Arabidopsis thaliana: one gene and its partners. The protein of the gene in region 3 interacts with the protein of the main gene of each other region in a pairwise test. Each region holds a gene or a part of one and is shown on either strand. Other genes may lie near its edges.

Region 1 (7,991 bases), on a different chromosome or scaffold from region 3:
AAAATTTTCAGTGTGATTGGAACGCTATTTATAATCGTGGGCCTATACACTGTTGTATGGGGTAAAGGCAAAGACAAAAGAATGACGGATGATGACGAAGATTGCAAAGGACTTCCGATTAAAAGTCCGGTTAAACCGGTAGATACCGGTAAAGGCTTAGCCGCAGAACTGGAGATGAAATCAAAGGAAGGTCAAGAGGCAAAGGCTACTACTACTACTCAAGTTGAGATTTGAGGATGCTTATGTACTGTTGACGGAGGAAGACACAAATCTGTCTTTCTTTCTCTGTATATTAAGTTTATGTTTTTTGCTTTCCAAGGTTACAGAAAGATTTTGGCACATCAGATGTAATATGATGAGATGATTCAATCATCTTGTAGTTTTAACTAGAAGTTTTTGTGAGATATGCAACTTCAAAAATTATCAAAGAGATCAATAACAATGTTTTGGTTCTACTCATCAAGAATTTCACATAGGAGTTTTTAATGCGCGGAAAATAAACAATTGTTGTTGAATCAAGATGACAAAGCAAGGGAAAAAGAAGCAATGGAGATGAGAAATGTGATAAAGAAGTAGCTAACTGAGGAGGCAGAGGCGGTTGAGATGCTACCGGCTGGACCATTAGCGGGATTACCTGGCAAGATACCACCACCAGGAAGCATAGATGATCTTGGTGAAGATGCTATGGATCCTGGACCATCAAAATCTGGTGAAGGTGCTGGTGCATACATTACATCCCTAGGAACAGTATCTGGTGGAGCTAGAAGCGGCGCAAATTGTTGAGGTCCTGCATTTTTACCATTGCACTTACATGAGACCGAATTCTAGCACATGATTTCCCTTACAAAGATAACATGGTTTAAAAAGAACTTACCGGGACATCGAGGTTGAAGAGACCTGGTCAGCCTATAAAACGAAAGAGAAGGAAATAGTTTCGAATCATTAGTAGGGGTATGTTGATAAGAGGAGAAGACAAAGTGAATGTATTTCTACTTACATGGTTAAGATAGTGCCGTTGGCTATACCGTTGTAATCACAAGTTGTAACATTACAGCCAGCGCTAGTCTGCTGCACCGTGATGTTACCGAGCATGAGGTTGCTGTTTCTACACTGCATACTTGAGCAAGAGACGGCTAGGGAAGCAGGCTCACAATACAAACTGCATCACATCACCCACACACAACACAAGTGAGTCAAAATGCAATCAGAGATGAATTTGATTAGTCATATCAAATAATAAAGCTTAGATATAATTACTTGCGGCTCCCAAGCGCACAGCTGCATTGCACACAGTGACCTGCAGCTAGAGCATAGCTACCATTTGGAACAATCAATCCGAAATCCGAAGCGTATCTGGGGAACTTTGAAGCACAAGCTGAGAGAAGGTAAAGATACAGAACCAAACATTAATAATCTGTAATTGCTCCCTTACCAAAAGTAAACTCAGCCAAAAAAATACCACAAAGAGGGAAACTTTTGGTAGCTCAAACTCATTCAATGCCAAAAACAATACCTTAATGAGATTCAAAACCCAGAAAACAATCAACCAGCAATGAAAGAAACAATCAAAAGTCCACAAAGCTACACCAAAAATCCCAATTTGGCAACCAACAACTAACAATAGAAACTACTTCCCATTATACAAACATCTGAAGATACAACTTTTAAAGATTGTGTAGACCTGACCTGACAAAGGAACAGCGAGAATATCTCCAGAACTAACATCAGGAGCTCCCATAGCATTCACATTCATCAAATCAGTAATAGTAGTCGAATACCTCCTCGCGATTCCGACCAATGTATCAATCTCCTTCACAACATACGACAAATAAACAGCCGGCAAAGAATTGTCGGTGCCATTGAAACAAGCACAAGGCAAGGGGATAACAAGACTAGTCCCAACATCAAGCAGCGACGGGTCATTCACCGAGTTAGCTTCCTGGATCTGCTCAGCAGAGACCAAGCCTCCGTAAACAGAGTCAGCAATCGATCCTAGATTGTCAGAAGGTCGGGTTTTGTAATGGGTAGAGACAGATTTTCTGATTCCGTCGACGCAGGAGCAAGTGATTGGGATTTTGAGGAAGAGCTTCGAAGGAAGGATATGGTTTTCGACGTCTGGGTAAGAGATATCGATGGCGTTAGCTAAAAGGATAGAGATTGGGTCTACTTGGAAGAGAGATGCGACTTCTGAGACTTTGAGGTCGGTGTAGAGTGTGTAGCCGAGTAAAGCGTTGCAAGTGTCGTTGCTTGAGCAAGGCTCGATTGTTGATTTCGCTGTCGCTGTGAAGGTTAAGCTCGAAGCTAGGATCAAAGAGACGAAGATTAAGAAGATGGGTTTTTCTGGGATTTTCATTTTTGTGTTTAGGGTTTTACGAAATTCAAAATCTCCTAGGGTTTTCAATTTCTCTTACAGGACAATGACAGAGAGTACAGTGAACAGAGTTTAGTTTGGTCTATGGAAGATGAATCTGGAGATTTTTCCAGGGGTTTGGTAGAGAGAGAATCTCTCTGTATCTCTGGTTTTCTTCTTCTAGAAAGAGAAGAAAAGTTTCACCCTTTTTGAAATGGAGAGAGAGAAGAGAAGAGAGGAAGAAGGAGACAAGTGTGTTGTACAGAGTGAACAGAAAACGGTAGCTTTGCGATCTCCAAGACACAGACATCTTTTTATGCTGTTTGACTGTTTTGCCCTTTTCTCTTTAACTCCTTTGACCTGGTTTCAGACTACTGTAGCATGAAGATTTTTTGAAAATTGATTTTTTGTAAGGGAAGGATATGGCGGTAAATTCAGCAACATAAGTTGAGGCCCACTTGAAAAAGCCCATTTTTTACTTTTGAGAAGCTAAAGCAACGAATTTGATGAGCTGTTTTGAGAGCTAAAATATTCGTTTCCCTTAAACACCGTCTTAAGCTCTTTCATGTATCAAGGCGGGAAAATGAATAATCATTTCTTATATATTGTCAAATTAACTTTCTATTTTCATCTTCTTTCAAAGATTCCCAAACTTGCACCATTTTGTCATGTATTAAGTCTCTGATGTTAGAACATGGCACTATGGCACAAACAAAATTGGAAGGAAAAATTAAAAAGCTGAGGTAAGTGAAAGCACTACCATAATTGAATACAAAAATGGGCCTGCTTTAAGTATCTTTGTGGTCATCTCTGAGTTGGTTTGATGAGGATAGATAATTTAATACAATGGAAACAAATAAAATGGCACTTCTCTAACTTCTCTAGTTTGAGTAAAAATAAACATATAGTTAAACTATAACTCTCTTGTGGATGTTCAAGATCAAATCTAACTTCTTTGTGTGCGTTCAATAGTCTAGTGACTTACCGATGATATTCAAATTTTACTCTCGAGTTTATCATTAACAAGAGGGATCAGTTCCATCTTGTTCCTTGGGGTACGAGGAGTCCTAGGAGTTCCGGGTTGTTGCTGAGAAAGCATGTGTCTTACATATCCGTAAAAGGTGCAGCCCACAAGTGTGATTCCGCAGCCAACAGCATTCATCGGTGATATCGGGTTTCGAAATATCATCCATGAAACAAACACAGCTACTGCAACCTGCAAATCACATACCATCCATCAAACATCTGAGTTATTGAAACTAGAATATAAAGATTAATGTTATGTGGTTTGGGATTTGTTCATTTACCTTAAGGTTTCCAGCTACATTGAATGTGACTGCTGTTGTGGATTGAATGACATAGAAGATGGAGAAGTTAAGACAGAAAGCTAGAACACCTGAGTTGAAAAGAATTATGAGAGCCGACCATGGAGATGGATGTGCTTCAAACCAATCCAAAATTCCATTCCTTTCTAGTAAAAATGCAGGTAACCCGAGAATCATGGTCGCGAAAGGCGCCATATAGTATACCGTGTTTATGCTACATAGAGAGACATGAAAATGAGGAGGACACAAACACTCAGTTCCATGAAATATGAAAAAGCAAATCAAGTATTGGACTATGAGAGCATGGCATGTCATTGAAACCAAATGTAAGTTTCACACATTCAACACCTATCATGTGAAACTGAAGATCAAAACCTCAGGAAACAGAACATTGACCTGTCAAATTTGTATCCATGAAGAAGAGATTCTGCAAGAATGGTCTTTGTAGAGGTAGCTAAACATCCAAACAAAGCAGCACAGAATCCAAACACATTAAAGCTAAGTTCTGTAATAGAAGTAAGAAGAATCCCTCCAACAATAGGCACCAATGACGCCCAAATACGCCAATCAAAATATTTCCTCCATACCAACCACTGTAACACAACTGCACTCAAAAAACCATTACACAAAAACCAATCAGAACAATAAAAAAAAATCACTTTATTTTGAAAAATTCTCAATCTTAAAAAAACCCTAAACCTGTTGTTGCAGGAGTTAAAGATTTGATAGTCTGCATAAAAGAGACAGGAATGTATCTAAGACTAATATTCCCCAACACAATGTTGATACAGAACACAAATGACATTGGAAAAATCCTCCTCCACCTATCTTCTGGATCAACCACAATCAAAGGTTTAAGCTTTAAGACTTTAATCACAATGTATGCTCCAATCGACGAACATATGAAATGAACACATGAAACTGATAATGGAAACTTGAAATCCAGTTTCTGCAAACAAGGAAAGGTACCAAATTTCAAACGCAGATCAGATAAAACAAACGAAAGGCTAAGTCTTTAATGATAAAAGTAAGAGACTTTTTAAACCTGAAAGATCCATTTGTTCATGATGATAACAGTAACGTTAAAACCCCACCATTGAAGAATCGATAACAGAGATCTGAACATAGTCCATTGACGCCACAGACTTCCTTCCTCCATTGATGGGTTTTAAGAAGTGAGTCAGAGAAGGATCCAAAAGATGAAACCTTTAGGAATGTGGCAATGCAAAAGCTAAATAAGAAACCCTAATTAAAGCGCCAAGAGAAACAGAGTAACGGTTCTGTTTTATATGCGAGAATTCTCTTTTTCTCTTTAGTAAGTTTCCGTGTAGTTAAATGCAAATATGTTTATGCAGCATAAATTATGCTTATACAAGTTACCAATTTTCAGTTGTTACATATATAAATATAAATAATTAGATTTTTAACAAATTTTCCGTATACAAGTAAATATTGTTAAAGATAAAAAATTATGGAAGAAGGATACATAAATACTTGAAATATTGATCGATACATTGATACAAAAAATCATAAATATATAACTTATGCATAGAGAAAGGAGACAAATTTTTTGTAATGTGGATCAATTAAGCGGTACAAATCCAGCTAAATGCTCTGCAGAACCTTTTTATAGGACCACCATTACCTCGAGGGACGATGTATCGCTCGTTGTTGAGAGGATCACATATAATCTTGCAAGGGTTGGCACATATGGCTGGAGTCGCTTTCTTTGATGCTTTCATGCACTGGTTCACGACACAATTTTTGACACACACATCTATCGAGTTGGAATGAGCTGAAAACATCATTGCAAATAAAATTACAATCATCAATACACTGCAGATTTTCTTTGACACTTGAGTTGCCATGTCGTAAGTATTGTGAGTCTGAAAATCTTAAATTGTAATGTTTTTTTTCTTTCTTTTTTCTTTTTGTTGTGGTTTTGAAACAAGATGATTTGGTGAGAATGTTGTGTTGATTATATAGTAAAAATAGTTTTAGCTGATTTTAGAAGTAACTAACTATTAGGAGGTCAACTTGTTTTCGTTTCTTTTTCTTGGCAAATATATCGATTGATTTCTGGACAACTTATATGTATTATACTGTTTTGGTCATCTAAACAACTATTTGCATGCTATGCATAAATATAGTAACACTAATTGCTCATATTTAAAATATTAGCCTGTACAACACATATCTTAGTGGCATTTTCTTCTTAAAATTCGTGACCACGTTTTTGTTACGAAAATCGTAATATGCACATGACATGGTAAAGAATACATACCGTTAACAAGGAATGATTACCTTTCACTGTACATAATTTTTTAAGATCATTGAATTTATCATTGGACACTAAAAATCTTTCCTTTTTTAAAAATGAAAAATAACAATTCCACCAAAAGTATCCTAAAAACTCAATGCCTAACTAAATCACATTGTTATTTTTCATGTGATTTAAATATTTTGGCGATCATCGGGGTACATTCTTTCTTTCAAACCTATAGTTTTTCTTAAATATGGTGAAAGATTCATCAGGAACAAAAAGAATACGTAATCCTTTTGTTTTGTCTATAATTTTTGAGTTGAATACATATATATATATATATAAGTAGGAAATTATGTACATTTGTTTATAAGAAAACGTAAGGAAAATATGTACTTTTGTTTATGAATAAGTAAGAGGTTCTAGATACATACAATACACTAAGGCGGATTAGATCATTTAATATGACTCCTCCCAGGTAAATATGTACATTTGTAAACATAATTTTCTTTCATATTGTCTTTATCGTCATTTTCCTCCATGAAAACACAATAAACTTTTTTTTCATAAAATCTATAAATTCAAGACTAATATAATTTGATTGAAAGTATTTATTTTAAAAATAAAATCCATATTTGTTTAACATCTTCAGTTTTTTCCATAAAATTATTAAATTCAAATGCCTACATAATTCTTTTTTACAACTCTATATTCTCAGCTTTCTTTCTAAAACAGTTGCACTTGTTGTAAACATGATATATATATATATATATATATATATATATATTTTTGAATATAATTTAACATTATGTTCAAAAAAAATTAGCTATACAAATTATGGAAACTTAATGCCTAACTAAATCACATTAACATCATATATTTTAGTTATTTTATTTTTAAACTATATTGTTTCAACTTTATTGGCGTTTATAACTTAAAATTTGTTTCATAATAAGTTTTGGTTATGTTTTTCAATGTAGATGTTTGGTTAAAAATTTAGTTTTTTTTAATGTCTTCACGAATAAAAAATCATAGCATATTAATAAAAAGAAAAACAGAAATTAATTGTAATTATTTTAATTTGTCTGAAAAACTTTAAACAAATATAATTTGAAAATGAGGGAGTATTAGGTATAATAAAATTATGGAAGAAGGATACATAAGTACTTGAAATATGGATCAATACAATGATACAAAAAAACATAAATATATAATATATGCATAAAGAAAGGAGACAATTTTTGTAATGTCGATCAATTACGCGCTACAAATCCAGCTAAATGCTCTGCAGAACCTTTTTATAGGACCACCATTACCTCGAGGGACGATGTATCGCTCGTTGTTGAGAGGATCACATATAATCTTGCAAGGGTTGTCACATATAGCTGGAGTCGCTTTCTTTGATGCTTTCATGCACTGGTTCACGCCACAATTTTTGACACACACATCTATCGAGTTGGAATGAGCTGAAAACATCATTGCAAATAAAATTACAATCATCAATACACGACAAATTTTCTTTGACACTTGAACTGCCATGTCGTAAGTATTGTGAGTCTGCAAATCTTAAATTGTAATGTTTTTGGTGAAACGAGATGATTTGGTGAGAATGTTGGTTGATGTGGATGATTTATATAGTAAATATAGTTTTAGCTGATTTTAGAAGTAACTAACTATTAGGAGGTCAACTTTTTTTCGTCTCTTTTTCTTTGGCAAATATATCGATTGATTTCTGGACAACTTATAAATGTGTTATACTGTTTTGGTCATCTAAACAACTATTTGCTATGCATAAATATAGTAACATTAATAGCTCATATTAAAAATATTAGCCAGTACAACAAGTATCTTAGTGGCATTTTCTTCTTTAAATTCGTAACCACGTTTTTGTTACGAAAATGGTAATGTGCACATGGTAAAGAATGCATACCTTTCAATTGATGGCTCGATACAATACGGTGGTGGAACTTGAGGTAAAAGAAAAAAAAAAATGGAAAGAGTGAATTTCTACGTGGAGAGGGTCAAATCGTATCTAGCTATCATACAATAAACT
Region 2 (7,991 bases), on a different chromosome or scaffold from region 3:
GTTTTTTCGTGGGAAGAGAAGACGCTGTTGAAATAATGAAGGTTCTTCCAGGGATATTAGAGGAGCGTGGGGTGAGATTTTTGTGTGTACTCTTTATGTGAGCTTGATGGCTACATTCTTATCATAGATTGTTACTTTTGGTGCTGATGACAGTAAAATTCATTATAGGTGGATGTGAAGCTGGTTTATAGTAATGGATATGCTTTTGATGTATTACCAAGAGGAGCTGGCAAACAAGGTGCTTTGACATATCTACTTGACAAGTTGGATATTGAAGGCAAGCAGCCTTCTAACACACTTGTTTGTGGTGACTCTGGAAATGATGCTGAGCTTTTCAACATTTCTGACGTATATGGCGTAATGGTTAGTTCCCAACTACTTTTTTTTAGGTTCGATCATACTTGACTACGCGTGAGTGATTGTGCTTATATTTTTACTGTTTAAGGTTAGCAATTCGCATGAAGAATTATTGCAATGGTATGAAGAAAATGCAAAGGACAACCCAAAAATATTTCATGCGTCTGAGAGGTGTGGAGCTGGTATGATAGAAGCTATTCAGAGGTTTAATTTGGGACCAAATGTCTCTCCTAGAGATGTTATGGACACTGAAAATTTCCATGGGGAAAGTTTGAATCCTGCTCATGAGGTTGTTCAGTTTTATTTGTTTTATGAGAGATGGCGTTGTGGAGAGGTGGAAAAGTCTGACAAGTACTTGCAGAATTTGAAATCGCTCTCTGTAAGTGTGTTTATTTGACAAAAAAAAGCTCTCTAGCATCTAACGTAATGGAAATTCAAGTGCTCAAATTGATAATTTTGAAGATGTTCTTGATTGCTTGTGTTGTGTAGACTTATTAGTTGACGTAATTGTTATGCTTTTGCAATGTTTCAGAGTCCACTTGGTATTTTTGTTCATCCGTCTGGAGTGGAGAAACCGATACATGAATGGATAGATGAGATGGAAAATTTATACGGTGATGGGAAGGAAAAGAAGTTTCGCATTTGGTTGGATAATGTTACGTCTTCTCATATCAGTTCAGATACATGGCTTGCAAAATTTGTAAAGCATGAGTTATCTGGTAAGAAATCTTGTTCTTCAATTACATGGCTTATACTTGTGACTTATCGAGCTAGGAAATGATTTAGCAGAAAATACGATCAACTGATTTGTTTGATTTCTCATCATAAGGGTATACTGTAGAAGTTTGCTTCCATGTTCTAATGTCTAGCTCGTGTTTACAGAGGGAAAAGTACGGTCTTGTTCAACAAAAGTCTTACTGAGTTATAAGGTAAACCTTGATTTATGATCCTTTTAAGATTTCAAACGATTAGATTGGTTAAATAATATTGGAAAAAAATAACTGAAAATGGGTTAAAATTGAAAGGAGGAAAAGCAAAGGCTGACGTGGATGCACATCCACCAATCATGGTTAGATGAATCTTCTTCAGATGATCAAGAAAAATGGATTTTCTAAAGGATTATCTTAATCTCGACTGACATACTAAAGATGACATCTGTTTGGGACAGAAGCTAACCAAAGAGCATAGTGTTTGTTTTGTGTTATGTTTGTTTGGGGATGGTGTGAGTTTGATAAAGCATGAAGGATACTAAAAGCTGAAGAAGGTGTTGCCATGTCTTGGTTTCGTTTCATTAATACTTTTTTACATATTTGGGTTAACTTAAAACTATTAATAAGGAAGGTTGGGTCCTGAATTTGGTCTGTTCATGACCTTTTGAGGGCAGGGAGAGTTTTGGGTCTCTACAACAAAACCTACATTTCTTTAGTCTTACAAAACCTACCATTGTGTTTGATTTGCAATTCTTTTTTCTGGTTTATATGGATTGTTTTCTACTATTTCTGTTTGTTTTTGTTGAGAAACTATTTCGATTTTTTAAACCATATACAAAACGCTCCACCAAACTCACAAATCCCGCCTTGGATACTGTAATCTGTTTTTATAAAAAAATGATATGATGGAGAGAAGAGGAGACGCAAGTCACGGGACATGATTTCAAGCATAAGTCTAATTACTAATTACCACCACTTTCCGTAATTAACGCCCTTTTTCACTTTATCCACTTTTTGTTGCCCATCTTCTTTATATTATTTCTTTCTCCAAGCCCACACTGCTCAGTTTCCTGGTCAAATGGCTACCTCAGAGACTCGAGTCTTGTTCTTATCTTTGTGTCTCATCCTTGGCAAAGTAGTTTTGTCTCAGTTTGATGAGTTATGGCTAGTAGGGGACGATGATCCACTCAACGCCTTGCAGACGAGGCGTGAAAGAAGAGAGGAGAGGTGTGATTACTCGGTGGGGAAATGGACGTTCGATGAAACGTATCCGCTCTATGATTCAAGCTGTCCATATCTGAGTTCTGCACTAAGTTGCCAAAGAAATGGAAGACCCGACTCTTATTACCAGAAATGGAGATGGATCCCTAAGGCTTGTTCACTACCAAGGCACACTCCACACTCCTCTTACTTCTTACATTACTTCTTTTTAAAATTTCTGTCTCATCAAGTAAAAAAGTTGGTTTATATTGGCTTTGCATGGTTAATTGCAAGATGAATAAATTGACTAATGAAAAATGGGAAAGAGACATTAATATTAACCAAAATAGTGGCTCTTTCCATGATGGTGTTTAGGTTTGACGCATTGAAATTTCTTGGGAAAATGAGAGGAAAAAGAATAATGCTGGTTGGAGATTCAATGATGAGAAACCAGTGGGAATCTCTTGTCTGCTTAGTACAGTCTGTTCTTCCCACTCATCGTAAGAAGCTCACTTACAATGGTCCTACGATGTCTTTCCATTCTCTGGTAATTAATAATCACAAATCTCCTTTTGAATCACATATACATCATTGGTTAGTAGATGCAACTATTAAATTTGGTTACTATACAGGATTTTGAGACATCAATTGAGTTTTGTTGGGCTCCTCTGCTTGTGGAACTCAAGAGAGGAGTTGACCGTAAAAGGGTGTTACATTTGGACTCAATCGAAGACAATGCTAGATATTGGCGTGGTGTAGATGTTCTTGTATTCGATTCCGCTCACTGGTGGACTCACTCTCAGAGATGGAGTTCGTAAGTCATCTGAATAAACACTTACATCTTTCCTTCAAAAGCAAATGATTAGTGTATAACGGTTCATAGACGTCTATGTTCATTGTATTTGTTATTGTGTCTCATTTTACATCAGATTTGGGATTTGTGACAGTAACGCAAGCTATTGATGTTTTAGGTGGGATTATTACATGGATGGGAATAAGATCTTCAAAGCTATGGACCCAATGGTTGCTTATGAGAGAGGACTAACCACATGGGCTAAATGGGTTGAGATAAATCTTGATCCATCCAAAACAAAAGTCATTTTCCGCACTGTCTCACCGAGGTTTTTTCTTATATTCTCCTCTTAATCTCAACATATATACAAAATGGACACCATTAATTCATGTACATAAATTCTTGGCAGAGAGAGTGGTCAGATGTGCTACAACCAGAAACATCCCTTGCCTTCTTTATCTTCTTCCACCAAACCCCACGTGCCTCAACAGTCAAGAGTGTTGAACAAAGTGCTAAGGACAATGAAATACCGAGTGTATTTATACGATATCACAACAATGTCTGCGTATAGAAGAGACGGTCATCCTTCGGTGTTCAAGAGAGCAATGCACGAGGAAGAGAAGCACCATCGTATCGCTGGACCTTCATCAGATTGCAGTCATTGGTGCTTGCCCGGTGTCCCGGATATTTGGAATGAGATGCTTTCTTCAATTATCTTAACCAATGCTGTATGAGCTATAATAAGAGTCTGTTTTTACTCATGAACAATGGTGTTACTTATATGAATCAGTGGTTTATATATTACATATCCTTTCCCAGCTAACAAATATCCCAATATCAAAGACAAGACAACTCAAAGGCCTTTAAGCATAAAGTTCATGCATCACAATGATTTTCGTGTTTTGGTTATTTCTTACCTAACTCAATTTTTTTCCTAAAACGTTTTAGGTTAAGTTTTGGTGTTTTCATCAAAATGGCAATAACCATTTGATTAGAGTTTTACAGTTAGTGAAGTTCTCAATTTTTGAATAAAATAATATTTTTAAAATTGTAAAGGCAATGAGTCATCATTATTCTGTCGTATTCTCCGTCGCTTTCATTTTCAACTACTTTGAAGCTGCAGATCTCTTTTGGAGATTCACATGGCGACGGAGAAATGGGTGTTCATGGTGACGGCGCAAACTCCGACGAACATTGCGGTGATTAAGTATTGGGGAAAGAGAGATGAGGTTCGGATTCTCCCCGTTAACGATAGCATTAGCGTAACTCTTGATCCTGATCATCTCTGCACAGTCACCACTGTTGCCGTTAGTCCTGCTTTTGATCGGGATCGAATGTGGCTCAATGGCAAGGTACACTCGCTTCATTTCCCATCACGATCTCTCTCCTTTTGCTGAGATTCCAATTATCGAATTACAAAGATTTTTGTTGTTGTTGTTGTTTCATGTTAGTGTAGGAAATATCTCTTTCTGGAAGTAGGTACCAAAATTGTTTGAGGGAAATACGAGGTCGTGCTGGTGATGTTGAAGACATGGAAAAGGGGATCAAGATAAGGAAGAAAGATTGGGAGAAATTGAATCTACATATTGCTTCTCATAATAACTTCCCTACTGCTGCTGGCTTAGCATCTTCAGCTGCTGGATTTGCTTGTCTAGGTATTCTGCTTTTTCTCTCTGTTGATGATTATGAGCTTGAGAATGGCTTGTAGTTTATGTCAAACTGTTTTTTTTGCCTACAGTTTTTTCTCTTGCAAAGTTGATGAATGTAGATGAAGATCCAAGCCATCTTTCTGCAATAGCCAGGTACCTATGTAGTGGACTTCCTTGCACTATATATCAATGCTTTGATTTATGTATAGTCATCTACTAATGCATGAGTTGTGATAGTGAAGTGAAATCTGACACTCCTCTAGGAATTAAATGGTACTGATATTCATGGTTTGATTTCTGTTTGCTCATGTAGGCAAGGTTCAGGAAGTGCTTGCCGGAGTTTATTTGGTGGATTTGTCAAGTGGACAATGGGAAGCAAAGAAGATGGAAGTGACAGCGTTGCAGTTCAACTGGCAGATGAGAAGCATTGGGATGATCTTGTTATCATCATTGCTGTGGTATGGCTCTTTTAAAAAATATTGTGACTTTTTGGCAGGATTACTCCGACTCTCCCATCTTCCAGATCATGCTGTTTTTCAAATTAACCATATGTTACTTTTACTGTCGTCATACTATTTGATTGAACGAGATATATAAATAAGTATTTCCACGACAAGATTTTGAGTTGCTCTATTTCAACGTGTGAATATAGCATTATGGACAAGTTCGAATGGTCAGAAATCTGTTAAAATTTAGTGCCTTCATTCAAACTTTTTATAACAGGTGAGTTCACGGCAGAAGGAAACGAGCAGTACCTCCGGAATGCGTGAAAGTGTTGAGACAAGTTTGCTTTTACAGCATAGAGCAAAAGTACGTTCTGTTCTTGATGTTTAATGAACTTCTGTATTACCTATTAAACTTCATCCTTTGTTTTTTCTCTATCTATAGGAAGTTGTGCCAAAACGGATTTTGCAAATGGAGGAAGCTATAAAAAATCGAGACTTTGCATCGTTTACACAATTGACATGTACAGATAGTAATCAGTTTCATGCTGTTTGTCTGGATACATCTCCACCCATATTCTACATGAATGACACTTCACACAGGTATTCTCTATTTTGACATATTTCTATATGCTGCTTCAGTTTATTTGTTATCAAACCCTTATTTATTCTAATATATCAAACTGTTATCTGCTTTTCCAGAATAATTAGCTTAGTTGAAAAGTGGAACCGTTCTGAAGGGACACCACAGGTAAAGTTCTAGTGTCTTGACTCAACCTTTTGAAAACAACTAATAACTCAAAATGTAAATCTGTACAGGTTGCTTACACATTTGATGCTGGTCCAAATGCTGTACTGATTGCACGCAACAGAAAGGTCGCAGTCCAATTGCTCCAGGGGCTTCTGTACTATTTTCCCCCTAAGTCAGACACTGATATGAAGAGGTGAGACACAGAACAATGTGTGATCCGTTTAACTGCGGTTTTCTATGAGTTTTAAAATTGACTAAAAAGCTGTTTGTAATGATTTTGGTTTCTTTATTTACCAGTTACGTAGTGGGCGATAATTCAATTCTAAAAGAAGCAGGATTAGATGGAGCAAGTGGTGTAGAGAATCTGCAACCTCCACCTGAAATTAAAGACAACATTGGATCTCAGGATCAAAAAGGAGAAGTCAGTTATTTTATCTGCACTAGACCTGGAAAAGGTCCCATCGTGCTTCACGACCAAACTCAAGCCCTTCTCGATCCTGAAACAGGCCTTCCTAAGTGAGCATTCTCTCTGCTTCAAACTAATTATTATGATTAGCATCTCCTTTAACTGCAAGTTTAAGATACGATATATGTGGCAGAATAGGTGCAGGTACGTTGTCATCTAACTATTAGCTTTCCTATTTCCAAATAAAAGAAATTCATTGGTTTTGTTTTACCAGAGAAAAATCTTTTTACTGCGCTGCAGTAAATACTTTAAAAGACGCAAAAAAATAAAATGAAATGAAATTTATTCATGAGGAACAGAGCAATACTATTTTTTTGGGGTGGAGACAAACTGTACAACTTTTTTTTTGATTATCTAAACATATGTAAAATTGAATTTAAGATGATTGAGGAATAGGCAAGAGTTCTTTTAAGATAGTTTCTGCCATCCCATCAGCCATCGGAAAAATATGACCAGCACCTGGAATCTCATGATACTTGATCCAAGTTAGTTTCTGAGCAATGATCCTTTGTAGTTGTATCGGGACGAGCCGATCATCATCCCCTTGCCACATATGTACCGAACCTTCACCCTTAGGGAACGGATTCTCGATCTTCATAGGGTCAAAACTCCATTTCCCAAATCCAACAATCAGGTCTCGGTCAAGTGATTCGTGTGTCCCTTGTTGTGTTGTTTGGTTCTTGTAAGACACCCTTGCGGCGAGTTTGGGCAGTAGTGCAAGATCTTGAGGAGAGAACATATTGGGGCTTGATTGCATCACAGCTGTTGTTGAAAATAGCTTTTGATTGTTCCACCAGTAGAGTAGCCATGGAGTGTGATGAGTAATGAGCATCGAAAACCTTTCGGATTTTGATTGTTTGTTCCATAGCTCCCATGTCAAACTATCTGGGAAACTCGGCCACCATGAGTTGGTCACAGGACAAAGCAGTGTCGCTCCTGCGAGCCTGTGAGGAATGTATTTGAGAACACCCCAAACGGCTTGACCTCCCATTGAGTATCCAACCACGTAAAATTTGGAACCAAGTTGTAGTTGGTCAGCAAGTTGTTCAACGTCATGAGCTAAAGTCTTTTCATTGCGACTCGAGTGAGGATCGCTCTCTCCATAACCAGGTCGATCATATGAAACCACGTAGATGCCATTTTTCTCGAGAAAGCCCTGAGAGACAAACAATGCAATTACAGAAATACTCTATAAGAGAAATAGTAAGAGAGAAAGATATCAAATCATTACAGGGCGAACACGGTTGGCGATAACAGCGTCACGCCTAAATGTCGAGAATGCATGGATAAAGACGATCTTGAAAGTGGCATTTTGTCTACTAACTCCATGTTCTTCATAGGCTAAATAACGGCCATCGCTGAGACGTATCCTAGGGGCGGTAATAGGCGGTCCACCTGGGGTTCCGCATCTCTTAGGAGGTGGAGGTGTAATGGAAACAATAGCCCATGCCCCTAATCCAATCAACACTATTACCACTGCTCCTGTTATTAACCCTATCAAAATATTCAAATCAATAAATCAGTGATCACATTTCCTTCATCCCTTTTGCAAAACTTACGTTTACTTGAATCAATCAAAAACTCACATTTCTTCATGTTGAAAAAACCTTGATAAAAAAGTT
Region 3 (7,991 bases):
GGCAATGAAGGGTGAAGAATAATGACCTGAGCTCCAGTTGTAAGCTATCATTCTCTTTCTTGATCCTATCAATCTCATTGCTAAGGTTCTGGAGACAAAAAATATGTATTAGATGAGCAATAAAGGTTTTAAGAATTTAGATCAAACAAAAAAAATACTTAGTAATCTGTACAAACTAAACATAAATATAGATATACAAAGAAGCAATCCATGACAAGTCTCTCTATGTTCATGTTTCATGCAAAGCATATAACACACACACACACACTGACACACATATATGTATATATATTGATATTAGTATATGTAAAAGCATACACAGATATACATGCACAAATACTACTAGGCAGTGACTTAAATGGTATAAAAGCCTCTGTATGCTTATTACCCTATAGAGATATATCTCATTTGTGAGAACTAAACCTACATTTGTCAGAGCTAATTAATAATACATATAATATTTGCATCAAAATTTAATTTAAAAAGGATACTCAAAACTCAAAAGCAATTTTCAAGTTTTCAATTAGTTTTGAAAGCCAGAAACGTAAAATCAGTGTACTAATCAGAAATTCTCATTCCCAGATACATATCACATCCCAGATTTTTCTCTCAATTAATAACTCCATAAACTACGGATCTGATTCGCATAAGATTTGGTCTTGATGGTTTCAAAACACAGTTGGTTAGATATACTCTAGATTATACAAATTAAGCAGGAACAAAAGAAAAGAATAACTTCCATGTTTTGTGGCTCCATGTCTTGTTGAGTACAAGAAAATCAATAAAGACGCATGTTAGGCTACATACACAAAGAAACCTTTGTAGATCTGCATCTAGGGTTAGAGTATTTTTCTTTCTCTTTGACATATTTTAGGAAAAGAAAATTAAATAACCAATTTCATGATATCTAGCTCAGAATATATGTTTTTGAGACAAAACACTATAGTAGATCTGCATCTAGGGTTAAAGATTCAAGGGTCTTTTGACATGTTTTTGGTAAAGAAATTGAAAACTTATTACATGATTTTGGCCATGGAATATTTTTGAGACAAAGAAACTTTAGATTAAAAAGAGAGCAAAATTACCTCATGCTTAGCATCCCATAGTTTCTTGCCAGATAACTTCTGGTATTGGTCCAACATAGCACCAAGATCCATGGAAGGACAACAGTAATCAATCATCTTACCATTACTTGCAAAGATTATGAGGGCAACTTTTGCATCACAAAGAACTGTGATCTCTTTAGCCTTCTTCACCAATCCATTCCTCCTCTTTGAGAACGTCACCACTCTGTTGTTTGCGTTCTCTATCCTCTTTATCTCGATCTTTCCTCTACCCATCTTTCTCTCTCTATCTCTTTCTCAATTTTAGGGTTTGCTATGAAATTGTTAAGATATGGAGGAGAGGATATGTGGTTTATATGAAGAACAAGAAGAGGAGCATTGGTTTTAAAGTAACATTGATGAGATAGAGAGAGAAATGTTTTGATTAATCTTGAGGTGAAGAGAGACTTTGACAGTTTGGGATTGAAAACAAAGCTACTTTCTTGAGGGCACAGTCATGGAAGGCTTGCTTTTGGTTCGCTTATTACACATAGCCAACTCTATTTTCTCTCCTTTTTTTACAGTACCAAGAAGATAAAAAAAAAACTTGAAGTAACGTAATAAAATAAAGTAAAAACAAACTTAGTGATTTTGCTTAATGAACACTCTTTGCATGTGATTGATGTTTATTTTCTTTCATTTGATTTGATCATCTCAGTCTCTCTCGTGATAGGTTAAAGTGTCGTTTAATTAACCTCTGGTCTCTTCCGTACTATGTTTTCTTCAATGAACTGTGTAGAGAAAACAAATTCTAGATATCTGGAAAGATAAAATTCTTCATATGAAATGTGGTCAAACTTTTATTTAGCTTACTCGTGTATGTATATAATTAATTAAATTTAAATTTGAGAGGCAAACATGATAATACCATAATTTCTTATCCAACCACATATATCATCAATTAATTACTTTGGGAAACTATCTTATTATGTCATCAATTATATAAAACGTGAAATAAGATAGTGTCCCAATGATTTTGCAACTAAATCATTTTGCAAATAAATTTCCCATTTTGTCTATCTCGAAAACTAACCATTAAATCAAATGAAAGCAACGAGTTTTGCAACTTTGTAGATTTAAAACCAAAAATCTCTGTAAAGAATTGCTTTTATTTTTACAGGTTCTTACTTTGGCAAAACCAAGACTTGCTATTTCAAGAACTCTATGTCATATATAGGTCTTATCGAATATCGTAGCTACACTAAAAAATCAAACATATTAAATTATTGAAAGTTGAAGATATCACATTGACAAATGAAGTAAATAAAATAAAGTTAAATTCAGATGGTTTAGAAAAAGGAAAAAAAAAAAAGAAAAAGGAGCAGTGTAATTACCAAAGACCTTGGTATAACCATTAGACTTTATCATGCTTACATTGTTATGGGGAAAATGTCTTTGGTTGTTGAAAACAAAACAAGTTTATGGTTTTCTTGATTCACGTCGATCAGACACGTGTCAATTTATTGTGGAATTTTGTGGTCTTATGTTTTGTACTTAGTACGGGCATACTTTTTGGCATTTTCTCGATTATCAAACTATAAAGCCAGAGATTAAAAATCTCCACACACAAAAAAAAAAAAAAAAAAAAAAAAAAGTTGTGAATTCAGGTGAGAAACGTATCCACTGAAACAAAAATACCATATTGTTGGTATATTGAATTAGTAGATAACCTATGTCTTTTTAATATTATTCTAACTTCGGTTCACAATCAGGTAATGTTTACTCGTTGATTGAAAATATTGAGAAGGCAAATTTTGTCTAATTATACATGAAAACTAGACAAATTGGATGAAGAAGATGACTAATTTTCATGAAATATGGTAATATATAGTAGTAATCTCAATGATATTGAAACCCACTCTTTATTTTGCAACCGAATAATCATATATTGAAACTCAATACTAATCACAAGTATAAGACGTTTATAATGACTTGAAAACAAGTCCTTATTCTCACAAATAATCAAATACATGACTATTTAAATAAGGAGAGTAAGGTAAAACAAATACATAACTAGGTTTCGAGTGTGACTCAAAAGAGAGCAACAACAGCAGAAACAAAAGCGACCAGAAAAGTAGCACCACCTAATGAGGAAGCGGCATTTCCAGCTGGAGTAGTGGTTCCGCTAGAGCCTGAAGGTGTTGTGGTCCCACCCGCAGTGGGAGGAGTGGTTCCTCCAGTACTTGGGGTTGATCCAGGTGCTGGGGTAGCACCGGCACCAGGAGTAGCACCTCCAGTTGCACCAGCAGCAACTACAGTGATGGAAAGTTTTTGACCAAAACGACAATGGTCACCGACGGTGCAGATAAAGTATTGTGGTCCAGTGGTGTTTAGCATAATTTTGACCGGAGGAACGGTCATGTGGCTAATGGGTTTCTCTTTCTCACAGTTTTCAAATGCAGCTTCTGATACAACTGCCACATCATGCCTCCCAGCAGCGAAATCAAATTCTGTAATAAGAATATCAACATCAGTCGGTGGAAACTCAATTAATCCCTTTTTTAGCTAAAATATGTTCATAAGAATATAGAAAGAAAGACAGAACAACACCGACATGATCCATGCACGATCCCATAACTATGACTGTTATAAGAACAAGAAAAACAAAGACATATTTCAGCTATAAGAACAATAAAACTCACCGAGCTCGTCGCCTACACGGAAAGTTTTACCGGTAGCCCAAGTAGTATAGAACTCGGGGTCCATAGGTCTCGTCCATTCCGTATCATCACCAACATCGTAGTCCTCCGCGAAGACAACAACGGCAGCGAAAACCAAAACAAGAAACGTAACCGTTTTGAAAACTCCGGCCATTATGTTATGTGTTGAAGAACTCAGGTCACCCCCTTTTCTTTTCTTGGTCGAGAACTATATATGTCGTCTCTTAAAAGATAGTAAATGACCCCTTTTGATTTTTGTGTTTGTTGTGGTTTCAAAAGTCTTGCAAGAGAGACTTATATTTATAGGACAATTAAAGAGAGGCTCTCAAGGAGTCATACGCAAGATACGGGAAGACGCGTTACGTGTTGTGTCGTTGAACAAATCCAAATTTAGATATTATCACTTGTGGTCAATTTTGTCTGCTAAGTTTTTTTTGTCCACAATTGTTATTTTTAGCGCGTAAAGACATTGTACATTTGTAAATTTAGATCAAGTAAAAAACGTGACTAATTACTTTTTGGGTAATGATTATAAAATTTAGTGTTCAGACTAAATATAACTACCTAATAATAACCATCCGATATTAAGGCATCGAAGAATAGTAGCATACTAATGTTAGAAAAAACAAAGTGTTAAATGTGGATATGGATGAGATATTAGGTGTTTATAGCATTTATATGGATAAGTCGATAATTGTTCAGAAATTTCTAGGCTCGATTGTCTTTCTTTGCATGGGTCCGTTGTACCAATTCAGGTCGTATTCAAGAAAAATCAACCCAACAAGTATATATACTTGCACGTAAACGAATGCGGTCATAACCCGAAACCAAAAGCGGTCAAACTCACTTCAGTTTTTGTTTGAGTTTAGATAGTTCAAAAAAGACCAATCGGGACTCAAGTGATTGGTCCGATTATAAACCCGAAATATCCATCCGCTAAAAAGGACTTGTCAGTGATTGGTTATTTCAGCTTCAATAGCAAAACCAAGCCTAACCAAATAAACAGGTTCAAGAACCTTCTTGCTCTAAACAAGAATCACTGTCTGAAACTTGTTTACTTGGACAGGTTCTTACATTATGTCCCATTTTCTTGCAGAACCCACAAGCATACGTTATTTTACCAACACCATCTTCCCCGGAATTTTCACCACTGCAACTAGGATTCACTCCGGTCGGCTTCCGGCATGTTCTGCTGTTGTGACCTCTCTCACCGCATATTCCACATTTGTGATACCTAGTGGAAATGCCTTTAGTGACTATTGATTTCGACTTAGGACAAGTTCTACGGTTGTGGCCTTTCCCGCCGCAACCCCGACATCTAAATTTTCTGTCCGCATTAGTGCCTAGTTCTGGACAGTAATGGCGTCTATGGCCTTCCTGTCCACAGTTCTTGCAGTAAAACTTAGTTCCTGAATCAATGAGAGAAAAATGGTTCTTTTACCATTTCATAGCTTGCACATGGAACTGTCACCACAAAAGGAAATCAAATCGAAACCTACATTTCTACACTTCGAATCAACATTATATCTCAACTTTAAGTGACAAGCCTCAACCTAATTCATCACAGTGATCTCACATTATTGGAGAATGTAAACAGATAAAGCTCAAGAAACAAAAGAGTACTACATGGACCTAAACTCTGAAATTCTACCAAGAAACTGAGACTTACCTTTCATAGATAGGCTTCTCTGTTCACGGTTTACAGGGTTACTGAAGAAAGCTTTCATAGATTCGGATGCATGCTTTCTAGCAGCTGGTGTTCCTTTAGCTTTCTAGAACACAACAACACTAAGCAGATTCAAGGGAAAAAAACAACAAAACTTGTTCCATGTTAATTTAGGATATAAAACAAAATGGAGTAGATTACAGACCTTAATTGCAGCTACTCTTTGAGCATGAAGCACTGGATCACGATGTATAATCTTCATGCGCTTACTAAAAAGTCCAGTTTTGGCATTGAGACTCTATAAAAACCATAATTTGGACTGACTATGACAATTTCCCATGGAGAGAGTAGAATAACATGAAGTGTATATGAATGAAACTAACTTTTAGAGATCGGCTGATCTTTTGTCCAACTTCAGGAGTTGGTGACTGATAAATCCGCTTCGATTTTCGCCTTTTACTGAACTTTATCTCTAAATTATCAACCTCATCATCCTCCTTTACTCTAAATGGAGAACTGTGGCAGAAAAAAATGAGGTTTATTAGTCAAACATTAAACAGAATTAAGACTTCAACTCTTGAATAACAACACTACCTGGATCTAGCTTTCTCCCAAGGTCGTTCATCGATTGATTCTTCCCATATGACACAATCCCCCAAACATCTGAGACAAGTCATTATGCCCTACACAAATTTAAGCAAAGTTTCTATAACAAGGAAAGACTTTTGTTACTCAAAAGTTTAAAGTAATTTAATACTTTTAAGTACCTTTCCTTTGCATTGAGGGCAGTCTAATCGCGACCTCTCGATTCCGCAATTTGAACATGAAGTATAACCTCTTCCCCTACAAGTTGGACAAGGAAGCTCTCGAATGTACTGACCGTTAGGACCAAACCATGACCTTGGTTCACGCGAATCACCAGATATGAACCTGAATAAACCATCACCAAAAGCACATTTTTGAAGCTTAGCCAAATTGTGGATCATGTATTTTACCAACTATCAAGTACACCGACTTGACCAAGTAACAATATGTATTCCTTACTTTTTTAAGATTTTCTTTTTCTTTTTAGGAAATTATTAAGAGTTTTTTTTTTCCTCAAACTTCAAAGAGTTTCCATTTTGGCATTTTTTTTTTTTTCCTATTAGTAGAGTGCTTTGCTTTTACGTTTTAGTATAAATAAAGATAGGGTCTCGATTATGAGACTCATACAAGCTAGAGAGAGCTTTGAGTTTTATACGTTTTGGGTTTCTTTGAGTCTTGCAATAAAGAGAGCTTTTCGTGGGGTTCTGTGTGACCGTGATTGTTAACTACCTGCAAATAAGAACTTGAGGAATGACTACCAGTAGGATTGAGTCACGTTTGATCGCGATAGAAAAGTACCACAAGGCCTTGCATGAAGAATTTATTGGGTTTCATAAGAGACAGAAAGAGATCCAGGATGCTATTTTGGAGTTTACAAGGATGGTTTCGGCTTCAAAATCGTCGCATTCTAAACAAGAATCTGCAACTGTCCTTGAGGAGGACATTGAGATGCCAAGTTTTGATGGAGACCATCTCTTCATATGGCTAGAAATCATTGAAGTTTACTTTACTTTGCAACTCGCTCCAGAGGTTTGCAAGGTAGACACTGCATTCAGGAGTATGGAAGGTGATGCTCTACTCTGGTTACAATGTCTACGACAAGAGAACCCGACTTTAACATGGTCTCAACTAAAAACTGAGCTTATAGAAGAATTTGGAGGAGGAGATATTACGGCCTCTCCTGAAGAACAATTGGCATCACTTCGACAAACAGGATCCGTAGATGAGTACGCTAATGAATTCCGTGCTCGGGCAGCTCAAATAGGTAATAAGGACCAACTTGTAAAAGGCATGTTTCTTAATGGACTTAAAGAAGAAATCCGGGTGATGTTCCGACCAAACGATGCTGAAGGACCAGAGATGGCTATACGCACCGCAAAAGCAATCGAGAGAGAGTTGAATTTTAACAACCGAGCAAAGGGTAGACGCCAATATTCGTCGCACCAAGAATATTTTGACATGGAAGGAACAGGCCTTTGTTATCCCGGCTATCAGCCGTACTCCATCTTTGATGACTTCTGAGGATAAGGCAATCATGGATGGAGAGATACGTGCTATGTAAGAAGAATAGACTACACTACCACAGGAGCAAGCCTTGAGGACAAGACTTTACTTTGGGAGGCTGGAATGTTATGTTTTTTTCTTATTTTTATTTAGGATTTTCTATTTCTTGAATTTATGAAGGATTGTTTAATGCTTCCACTATTCTATTTTCAAGATTACTTCTACATCCATGCTTGTCTTTTACGTTTTAGTTTACTTATGCATCCATGCTTGGTTTTTCTATTTTTTTTTATGAAAGATTGTTTAGGACTTCCACTTGTCTGATCCTAACTCAAATAAGACATTGCAGGCAGATGCCAAAATTATCATACTCTTGCTTTTATAAAAGAATGAGAAAACTAGTGATTGTTTTCATTAAGAAGCTTCATAGTTGTTTTGAGTTTAGAGCTGTTTCATGAAATTGATCGTGAATTC

What was found.
Region 1: the proteins of BCB (region 3) and GONST5 interact in a protein complementation assay, tested with the Arabidopsis thaliana proteins (one large-scale study listed by BioGRID).
Region 2: the proteins of BCB (region 3) and TBL36 interact in a protein complementation assay, tested with the Arabidopsis thaliana proteins (one large-scale study listed by BioGRID).

What each region holds. Positions count from the first base shown.
Region 1 is NC_003070.9:7,675,051-7,683,041, reverse strand, and holds GONST5 (golgi nucleotide sugar transporter 5), read right to left. Parts: upstream 4,835-7,991; coding exon 4,721-4,834; intron 4,625-4,720; coding exon 4,375-4,624; intron 4,280-4,374; coding exon 4,072-4,279; intron 3,890-4,071; coding exon 3,658-3,889; intron 3,567-3,657; coding exon 3,345-3,566; 3' UTR 3,199-3,344; downstream 1-3,198. Other genes in the region: UMAMIT19 (nodulin MtN21 /EamA-like transporter family protein), read left to right, coding at 12-234; LYM1 (lysm domain GPI-anchored protein 1 precursor), read right to left, coding at 516-787, 875-906, 998-1,159, 1,258-1,375, 1,687-2,353; AT1G21866 (Plant thionin family protein), read right to left, coding at 5,262-5,543; AT1G21864 (Plant thionin family protein), read right to left, coding at 7,196-7,477. UniProt on the Arabidopsis thaliana protein: GDP-mannose transporter that may be involved in the import of GDP-mannose from the cytoplasm into the Golgi lumen.
Region 2 is NC_003074.8:20,080,900-20,088,890, reverse strand, and holds TBL36 (TRICHOME BIREFRINGENCE-LIKE 36), read left to right. Parts: upstream 1-1,923; 5' UTR 1,924-2,145; coding exon 2,146-2,456; intron 2,457-2,642; coding exon 2,643-2,814; intron 2,815-2,899; coding exon 2,900-3,081; intron 3,082-3,238; coding exon 3,239-3,388; intron 3,389-3,469; coding exon 3,470-3,794; 3' UTR 3,795-3,920; downstream 3,921-7,991. Other genes in the region: AT3G54270 (sucrose-6F-phosphate phosphohydrolase family protein), read left to right, coding at 1-71, 169-363, 446-736, 890-1,076, 1,240-1,286, 1,383-1,472; AT3G54250 (GHMP kinase family protein), read left to right, coding at 4,203-4,412, 4,517-4,715, 4,799-4,862, 5,023-5,167, 5,433-5,519, 5,598-5,755, 5,855-5,903, 5,972-6,096 and 1 more; AT3G54240 (alpha/beta-Hydrolases superfamily protein), read right to left, coding at 6,746-7,525, 7,601-7,863, 7,956-7,965. UniProt on the Arabidopsis thaliana protein: May act as a bridging protein that binds pectin and other cell wall polysaccharides. Probably involved in maintaining esterification of pectins. May be involved in the specific O-acetylation of cell wall polymers.
Region 3 is NC_003076.8:6,822,552-6,830,542, reverse strand, and holds BCB (blue-copper-binding protein), read right to left. Parts: upstream 4,179-7,991; 5' UTR 3,918-4,178; coding exon 3,746-3,917; intron 3,554-3,745; coding exon 3,135-3,553; 3' UTR 2,795-3,134; downstream 1-2,794. Other genes in the region: PI (K-box region and MADS-box transcription factor family protein), read right to left, coding at 27-88, 1,086-1,340; AT5G20220 (zinc knuckle (CCHC-type) family protein), read right to left, coding at 4,772-5,172, 5,433-5,535, 5,635-5,727, 5,813-5,945, 6,024-6,112, 6,197-6,359. UniProt on the Arabidopsis thaliana protein: Probably acts as an electron carrier.